Rattus norvegicus: one gene and its partner. The protein of the gene in region 1 interacts with the protein of each later gene in a biochemical or structural test. Links are inferred from orthologs where the notes say so. Each region holds a gene or a part of one and is shown on either strand. Other genes may lie near its edges.

The links.
Region 2: the proteins of Cops7a (region 1) and Cops4 form a complex in vitro, tested with the Homo sapiens proteins (2 studies listed by BioGRID). The link is inferred for Rattus norvegicus from reciprocal best matches to the Homo sapiens genes COPS7A and COPS4.

What each region holds. Positions count from the first base shown.
Region 1 is NC_086022.1:159,457,284-159,461,823, forward strand, and holds the start of Cops7a (COP9 signalosome complex subunit 7a), read right to left. Parts: upstream 2,891-4,540; 5' UTR 2,769-2,890; intron 2,748-2,768; exon of another isoform or gene 2,649-2,747; coding exon of another isoform or gene 2,635-2,648; intron 2,419-2,634; coding exon of another isoform or gene 2,376-2,418; coding exon 2,214-2,375; intron 1,860-2,213; exon of another isoform or gene 1,754-1,859; intron 1-1,753.
Region 2 is NC_086032.1:9,410,094-9,414,430, forward strand, and holds the start of Cops4 (COP9 signalosome complex subunit 4), read right to left. Parts: upstream 3,015-4,337; 5' UTR 2,977-3,014; coding exon 2,903-2,976; intron 1-2,902. UniProt on the Homo sapiens protein: Component of the COP9 signalosome complex (CSN), a complex involved in various cellular and developmental processes.

The DNA of each region.
Region 1 (4,540 bases):
TCCACAGCACCTTCCCTCCTGTCACTGCCACTTATCCTGGCATGTCACTCTGCTGGTTCTCACCTAACAATGTTTTTTTTTTTTTTTTTTTTTTTTTTTTTTTGGTTCTTTTTTTCGGAGCTGGGGACCGAACCCAGGGCCTTGCGCTTCCTAGGTAAGCGCTCTACCACTGAGCTAAATCCCCAGCCCCAACAATGTTTTAACAAGGCTATAGACCCAGCATCTGCTAGCCTCCAAGGACCCAGAGCTGTGGCCTTCGAAGTAAGTTACTGATAAATTGCTGACTTGTATTGTTTTATCCATTTATCCGATCTCTTTCACTGGAACACAAGCTGGAAATGCTCCTTCTACCTCATCTTAAGGACATACTTTAGTTCACTGTAGAGAAAATCAGGGACAAAAGCCAGTTTCTTGTGAAACAGCAGTCCCAAAAAACATTCTATCCTCTGATTCCACCACGGGTCTTCTAATGCCTGGCTCAGTCTAGCCACACACTACTGTCACTCTCATGACAGGCTGGTGTCCCAGGATTGGCCATCCATCTGCTCTATACTTTTAACGTTCTTTTTTTCTTTTTTTTTTTCTTTTTTTTTTTTTTTCCGGAGCTGGGGACCGAACCCAGGGCCTTGCGCTTCCTAGGCAAGCGCTCTACCACTGAGCTAAATTCCCAACCCCACTTTTAACGTTCTTGACTCAGCCATTTCCCTGAATGTTCTCGTCACTGTGTTCATAGCAGTTTGCCACTGTCTTAGGGAAGACAGCATCTTCACCATCTACCTGGGGGTGGGGTAGGGGTGGGGGTGGGATTTACCATGGCATAACTCAAATGCCCATTCTCTCTGATTTTAGGAGACTCCAGACTTTCCCACAGTTACTACTGTAACTGTGAAGGGAAGTGCTTTTTTTCTTATTATCATTTACTTTATGTATATGTATACACTGTAGCTGTCTTCAGACACACCAGAAGAGGGCATCAGACCCCATTACAGATGGTTGTGAGCCACCTTGTGGTTGATGGAAATTGAACTCAGGACCTCTGGAAGAGCAGTCAGTGCTCTTAACCGCTGAGCCATCTCTCCAGCCCAGGTAGTGTTTTTTTCGGTTTTTCCCTCATTGGAGTTGTGAGAACTGTACCTATACTGAGCCATGCATACGACAAACAAGGGCTCTTTCACTGAGTACATCCCTACTCCTTTTTTGAGATGGGGTCTAAGTTGCAGAGGCTGGTCTAAAATTTGTGGTGCCCTACCTTAGCATCCCAAGTTCTGAAATGGAAGCCAAGGCCTCACAAATGCTAGGCAACCACTCTATCAGCTGTTTCAAGGTTCTCATCACCATTTTTTAAGGGAAAACTGAGACTTAATTAGGTTTTTCTGATCCAGGTGACAAGATTTGTTGTTTTGTTTTTAAGACACGGTTTCTCTGTGTAACAGGGGCTGTCCTGGAACTCAAGTCTGTAGACCAAGCTGGCCTCTAACTCAGAGATCCACCTGTTTCTACCTCCCAAATGATGGTGACAGGATTATTAAGAGGTATCAATAGGCACAAATCTTCAATCCCAGCACTCCGGAGGTGGATCTCTGAGTTGAACACACAGAGAGTTCCAGAACACAAGTTATAGTACACAGAGAAACCCTGTCTCGAAAAACAACAACATCAATAACAACAGTAAAGATATCATACTGGTGGACGAGCTGGCATTTATGAGTGGTATTGTGTATGACATGTTCTTTTGTTTAAAAATTTAAAATCTGTGTTTCCTTCAGCAGCACATATACTAAAACTAGAACGATCCAGAGAAGATTAGCATGGTCCCTGGGCAAAGATGACCTCAAATTTATAAAGCGTTCCACATTTTTAAATAAAAAAAAAATTTTTTTTTTAACTTCTGCATGAGGCATAGTCAAGAAGATTCTCAAGCATTCAAGGCCAGCCCAGATGACGATTACCAGTTTAGTGCAGCCAGGACTACGCAGTGAAACCCTGACTGAAATTGTGGGTACAGAGGAAGGGAGCAGTAAGTTTACAGACCCCTTTTCTGTAAGAGATACAGGAAATGAAGACCTTTTTTTGACTGCTTACTTTTCCAAGCTGACATCTAATTATCAATACCCTGTTCACCTGAGTGGCTATTGGTTACAAAATGAGCCCACCATTCTCAAGGAAACTTTGGTCCCGAGGTTCTTTTTGAATTACCCAGGCAAGCAACACACCTCTCTAACATTAGGCATATCCAGCAGTTCCCCAAACACGTAGACACCAGGGGCCTCCAGCACCTGGTGGATGAGTGTGGCCAGTGCTGCCCCCTTAGCCGACTTGGCAAGGAGCAGAAATTGCTCCTGGTTCTGCCCTGTCACCTTCACCTCCGCACTCATGGCTGCACCCTGGTGCGGGGCTCTGGCCTCAAGTTTTCTGGAGCTGCAAGGAAAGAGGAACGTAAAACTAAAGGTCCCTGAACCACGTGAGGGTGGTCAGCTCAAGGGTGGGGAACTGCACTCAAGAGGTACCACGTCACTTCTGCAGTGTGCAATTAGGTCAAGAAGTCTAAAAGCCAACTCTAGGGTTCCTTAAAGTCGGCCACATCCTGGCTGCCACGCCCACCCTCTCCTCCATCGGGGCAGTCCCAAGCCCCACCACGTGCATCCCATTGAGTTCCAGGACAGATGAGGAAGGGAGGGAAGAGGTGGCACATGGTGTCTACCCCAACGACGACGAACTCCCAGCTCTAAACTCGTGTCTTGCACGTGTCCTCAACCACGTGACCTCACCTTTTCGATCCTCACTCGTGGCTCCACCCCCTCCCTTAAAGAGGCAGCCCCGGGTCCGCGAATCTGTGCCCAAGGCCGGGTCGTACCCTGGGACAGACTGCGACCGACCGCTACCTGGAAGCCTCGTCTTCCAGCGCGCGGGGCGGGGCGGCCGCTCCGTCACCTCCGGCAGCGGCTCCCAGCCTTTCCTGCCACCTCCCCGCAGGGTCGCTCTAGCCACGCGCTTCTATGGCCAGTTTCCGGCCGCACTTCCGCTCTCGAGAGGCGGGTTCCGGCCGGCTATGGCCTGCTTCCGTTTCCCGACCGAAGGAGGTGAGAGAGCGACACCTAGCTTCCGCTCTGTCGATAAAGCTTTATTGGTGCGGGAGCGGTGGATGCCGGGTGTAGAGAAAATCCTGGCTCCGTGGAGGTCCTGGGTAGATGAACCGCCCGGTAGCTGCAGGAGAGGGGAGGAGGGCAGCGCCAAGTTCCTCCGGCCGCATGAGCGTTAGTGGAAGACGAGAAGATGCAGAAACTAAAAATAGGAGACAAACATGGCTAGAGTTTCAACGGTAGATAATTTAGGTAGTTCAACCACTCATGTTTTTCAAAGAGCAGAATAAAAAGTAGACAAACGTGGCTAGAATTCAACGGTAGATAATTTAGGTAGTTCAACCACTCATGTTTTTTAAAGAGCAGAATAAAAGTTTAAAATGCAAGGGGGCAGGGAGTGGTGACCCACACCGCTTCCCTGTGTTTTGGAAATAGAGGTAGGATCGGGAGTTCAAAACCAGCCCCAGGGGGTTGGGGATTTAGCTCAGTGGTAGAGCGCTTGCCTAGGAAGCGCAAGGGCCTGGGTTCAGTTCCCAGCTCCGGAAAAAAAAGAATCAAAAAAAAAAAAAAAAAAAAAAACGAAGCAAAAAATACATAGCAAATACCAAGCCAGTCTGGGCTACTTGAGAACCGGTCTGGAAAAAACAAAACAAACCCCCAAATGATTAAGGGGAAAGGGAAGTGTATTGGTCAGGCTTTTGAGGTTTTCTTCCGTTGGAATTTCAGACCACGTGACCAGACTTTTGGCCGATTAAAACCAGAAGGATTACTACACCTAATCGTTCTGGTTTTAATACTTGAATCTCAACAGGAGAAAAGTGTAAGTAGAACCTAGGCAGGTGAGGAAATTTAAAAGTTAAAGGATTCAGCTGGTTATTTGTAATCCCAACAGCCAGGAGACTGAGGCAGGAGGATTGCTATTAGTTGGGAGGGTAGCCTGTGCTACAGTGTGAGAGACCCTGTCTTAGAATACTTTAAATTGCATGGTGGTACACACCTTTAATTGGGTGGATTTCTGAGTTAAATCATCCAGCATCTTATGCATAGGGAATTATGGTATAGCCAGAACTACTTAGTGAGACCATGTCTCAAAATGAAACAAAACAAAAATACTTACAGAAACCATTTAAGGGGCAAATTAAGGTAAAGCCAGACTTACTGTTTCATAATCTGTAATCCCATTACTCAGTAGACTAAGGCAGGGGAATTGAAAGTTCAAGACCTGAGTTCTGGAAGTAACCCATGAGACAAGGGAACATAGGGTCCAAGTGCAGGCTTATCTGATTCCATTGCTTCCCTGCAGGAAAAACGAGGCATGGTAGTACATGCTTGTAGTCTAGCACTCGGGAGGCTAAGTCAGGAGGATCTTAGGCCCAGAGGCCATCTGGGCTTCGTAGTGAGTTCCAGGTTGAGAGTGGTGGAGAGAGAGAGGTTAGAAGAGGCTAAGAACACTGGCTGCT
Region 2 (4,337 bases), on another chromosome or scaffold:
AAAAGATTTCTTTACTTGTATATGTGTGAGTATTTTGCCTGCATGTATGTCTGTATACCACATGTTTGTCTGGTGCCCTTAAAGGTCAGAAAGAGGCATTGAATCCCATGGAACTGGAATTACAAATGGTTGTGAGCCATCATGTGAATGCTGGGAACGGAACCTAAGCGCTCTTAAGCTAAGCTACTGCTCCAGTCCCCTCTTCTAAACCGTTTTAAGAGGTGTAAAAGAGATGTATCTATTTTTTATTTATTATTATACATATATTATATATAAAGAGGCCTATATCTGCAACAACCACAACAAAAAGCTTTTTATATGATTCGTTTCTTATAACTTCGATAACATCAGAAAGCATGTCTAATTGAGTTTTTAACAAGAAAAACAATATAGTCTAGTTGGTTAAAAGTGAGCTTTTTGAGGGAGTTTAGAGGTCTGGTGGGGACATTCTCGAGGAGTGGAACCCCTGGGGGGGGGGGCAATGGGATGTTGAAACAGTTGGAAAGTAGACGGGGAGGAGAATAAAATCTGGAATGTAAAAATGAATAAATGAATGAATGAATAATTTTTTTTAAAAAGTGAGCTTCTGATAAAAACTTGGGTTCAAATAGAAGTTATGCCCAGCAACCGTAACCAAGTATTCCATTTCTTGAACAGCACACTGTATGAGCATATTATCAGCGTTAGACATCTTATACTCCATTATTTGTTAAAGTGGAAGCCTTTGTTTCTCAGGTCCCAAGATAAAAGCCTTAAAGGAGCAGATGACTTTGACATATGTACGTCATAAAGTATGTGGCTTGCAGAACTGTGTTGTTGAGAGTAAACATTCTGACAATTCTTACCCAGATAGTACTGGGTAATTACCTAAAGGGAAGGCTGGAGATGGCTCAATGGTTAAAAGAGTGCTGGCTGCTTGTCCAGAGGACCTGAGTTCAATTCCCCACACCCGCCTCAGGTAGCTCACCACCACCTGTAGCTGGTGGGAAGGGATCGCACTTCCTCTTTGAACATCCATGGGCACCTGCGCACATGCCGCACTCATACACATAAATAAAATCAGCTAAATCTTAAGACAGAAAGCAATATGGCGGGGCAGCTAACACTGCATGGACTATCACTCATCAAGCACGTTATTTCATTCACTCTTAAAAAAACCCACGTGGTAGACTGGCACCCCACCCTCCATTCATCTTCCCGTGCAATAGCACTTGGCTTCTAAAGAGTTAGTGGTCCGTTCCATTCCCTTTCCCCTCACCGTTGCATTTCTAGCCTCACGGTTAGAACACTGATGAAGGAAGTCGCTGAAGAAAGCCAAAGCTAAAGGGTGGAGTGAGAATGCAAGACCCAGCCAACCGCCAGGTATCTCTGTGCATGTGGCCAGCCACATTAATCTGAATAACTGAACCAGGCAGGAACTACTAATTGTGTGTTTATGGAGCTGCAACAGAGAAAAGAAACACCCTATCGGAGTCATGCTACTGTTCATCTCCAATTCTGAACTCAAGAGGTCAATAGTAACCGAAGTTCCAGAATTCTTTCAAGTTCTAACAGCTCTATCTTAGTTGATAACTAATAAACTTACATTTTCTGTAATAAAGAGGAAAAAAAAATCAAAGGAAATATAAGGGAATACATAAGCTAGTTTTACTTCTATCCAACTCTATAAAAGTATTAATACATGTGAAAAAAAAAAGCGAAACAATGAACAATGATATATGCTCTTTCAATATAAGTGAACTATTCCCAACTCCCGGAATAAGTCCTACGTACTTACTGACTGCTTAATAATAACTTTATGACACTGGCCATACACCAGGGGCTGTGCTCAGTTATTTAAGTGCAATCAGTATAGAGACACATGCTCATTTTGAAATCAGGTAAGACTAAGTCTCACGATTATCCTACCATTTTTTAAAGTAGAAGAACAAAGAATAAGGTAGTTAAGCCCAGGTTATAAATTAAATTTCCCACTAATAAAGTAGATTGTATTTTCTACACAGAATAGCCAGGCACAGCGGCCGCACCACACATACACCATTTCAACGTGCAGGTTTGAGCAAGAGTATTTCATTAATTAGATCAACGTGCTCTCAGTTGTGAAGTGTAAATGTTAGGCTCAATTGAAGGCATACGTTCACTAGAAAGCAAAACTGTGAAATCTACACAAAGAAGACTAAAGCTGTTCAACAATTGTTTGAGGGACTGACACATGTCTCAATTTTTGACCTGGAGTGGATCTAAGTAAGCACCCTAAGGTTTCCACAAAATTCCTAAGCAGCCCCTGGAAATATTACTGTCTAGACATCCCGAGCCCAAGGGCATTCTGCCTGTGTTCTCGTCTACAGAGTTGGTGACAGAGAGTATCCAGAACATAAGGACCCACACACGCTATGAAGTGAAAAGCTCTGGACCACATGACAGCGTCTATTCTTTCTCCTCCCCTGTCAATCCTGGAAAGCCATCTCTTCAAAACAAAAACAAAACTCTGTATCAAAGTCCAAAATACAAATTTACCTCCAACCAGGCGAGGGCGGGGGCGGCAGCAAACAGAAGTCAAACTCGGTGCGTTGGGCTCGCCGAACAGACACTAAGGAAGGCGCCCACCGCCTGGGGAGCCGTCATCTTTCTTACCACGCTTCCAGAAGCCAAAGGAACCCGCAGAGGGCGTTATCAAGGACTTAAGAAGCTGGCAGTCACCCCGGGTCGTAGGACGGTCAGGACCCCAGCACACGATCCCCACAATTTTCTGCTGCTCCCAGCATTTACCGCCACAGCCGACTTCAGGCCCGCCCCCCTGAGTCAGGCCTAACTCGAGCCTCACACCCCAGAGCGCCCGTCGCCTCTAGGAAGGTAAATTTGTGTCTTCCTTCCTACCTCTATACTCCTAGGAAATACTCACTTGCCCGCCAGATCTTTGTGAGAGCCGCTTGAATTCATGAGCTGGGCCAAATCCTGTCGCACGGCAGCCGCCATCTTTCTTCCAGCTCAGCCACGGCTGCGGGACCTCTCGCTGCCAAAAAGGAAACGAGTGTGGTCCTCCAGAAGCCGGCAGAGGGGAAGCTAGATGCCATAGAGTAGCATCTTAGTGGGCCAGAGCGTCGGATATGGGAGCCGGAATTAGCTCCGCCCTCGAGGTTGAGTGACACAAGACTCCTCTCCTCTGGTTTGAGGACAGCCCAGGTCTCCCGAGAGACACTGGCTCTCACGCTCCGACCTGGGATTGGCTGAAGAAGAACTTGAAGGCGTGTACTTTGTGCAATTTCAGTAAGGGCCCGGCAGGTCAAACGACGACGTTTTAGCCAGGTTCCGGATCGGATTATTATCGTTCTCCGCTTAGTTCTTTAAGGCATCTCTTAAACTACCTATGTAGAGTTATTTCCAATTCACTATAGTCCAATACTGAAGAAAAACAAAACAAAAACCGACCAACACATGCACGGAATATTAATCCCAAAGATGCGAAGAAAACCATAATGGCCAAATTAAGCAATTAATGAAAGCGAGCTTTTTCATTCGTGTACACGGACTGCCTTCCCCTAAAGTGGAATTCGATAGGTCAGCTCTAGATGCAAGGAAGACAAGGCTTTTATAACTCAGGGGTAAAGGGATCCAAAGGGGGAATTGGTGGGCAAATTAGGCGGCTGGCAAAACAAGGTAATCACAACAGGTAGACATAGGTGGTCATGTAAACTATGCAGCAGGTAAGGCTGCAAAGTGGCTATAAACCACTTCTTGAAGCAAAGGCATGATTTCTATTCCTGGAACTGGTAGTGCAGAACCTTTTGTACTTAGGGTTACAGGTGAAGCATAGTCCAATGCTTGAGAAAGAGAGGTTTAATCATAAACAAGGAGGAACCTAGTTTGTCTGGAAGAGAGGTTTAATGATAAACAGGTAGGAATCTAATCTGTCTTTACCATGAGATGGCTTTTAAGTCTGAAATGGAGACAAGCTGGTTCTTCAGATAATTTACCTGGGAGAGAATATACTGCAATCAAGAATATGATCCTAAGGGGTTGGGGATTTAGCTCAGTGGTAGAGCACTTGCCTAGCAAGCACAAGGCCCTGGGTTCGGTCCCCAGCTCCTAAAAAAAAAAAAAAAAGAATATGATCCTCCCAGGATGAGTCACTGGCATCTAGGTGTGCTAATGTCTGCGTTTGTGAGGAAACTCAACTGCACAGCTTATGATTATAGTGGACTGCTTTTGGCACATTACCCTTATGAAAAAATAAGTGGCTGGGCTTGATGGGGATCACCGTAATACCAGCACTCCAGAAGTAGAGGCTGGAGGATCAGGAGCCTATGCACCTGAACCTATGGAGTTGAAAGACAGTT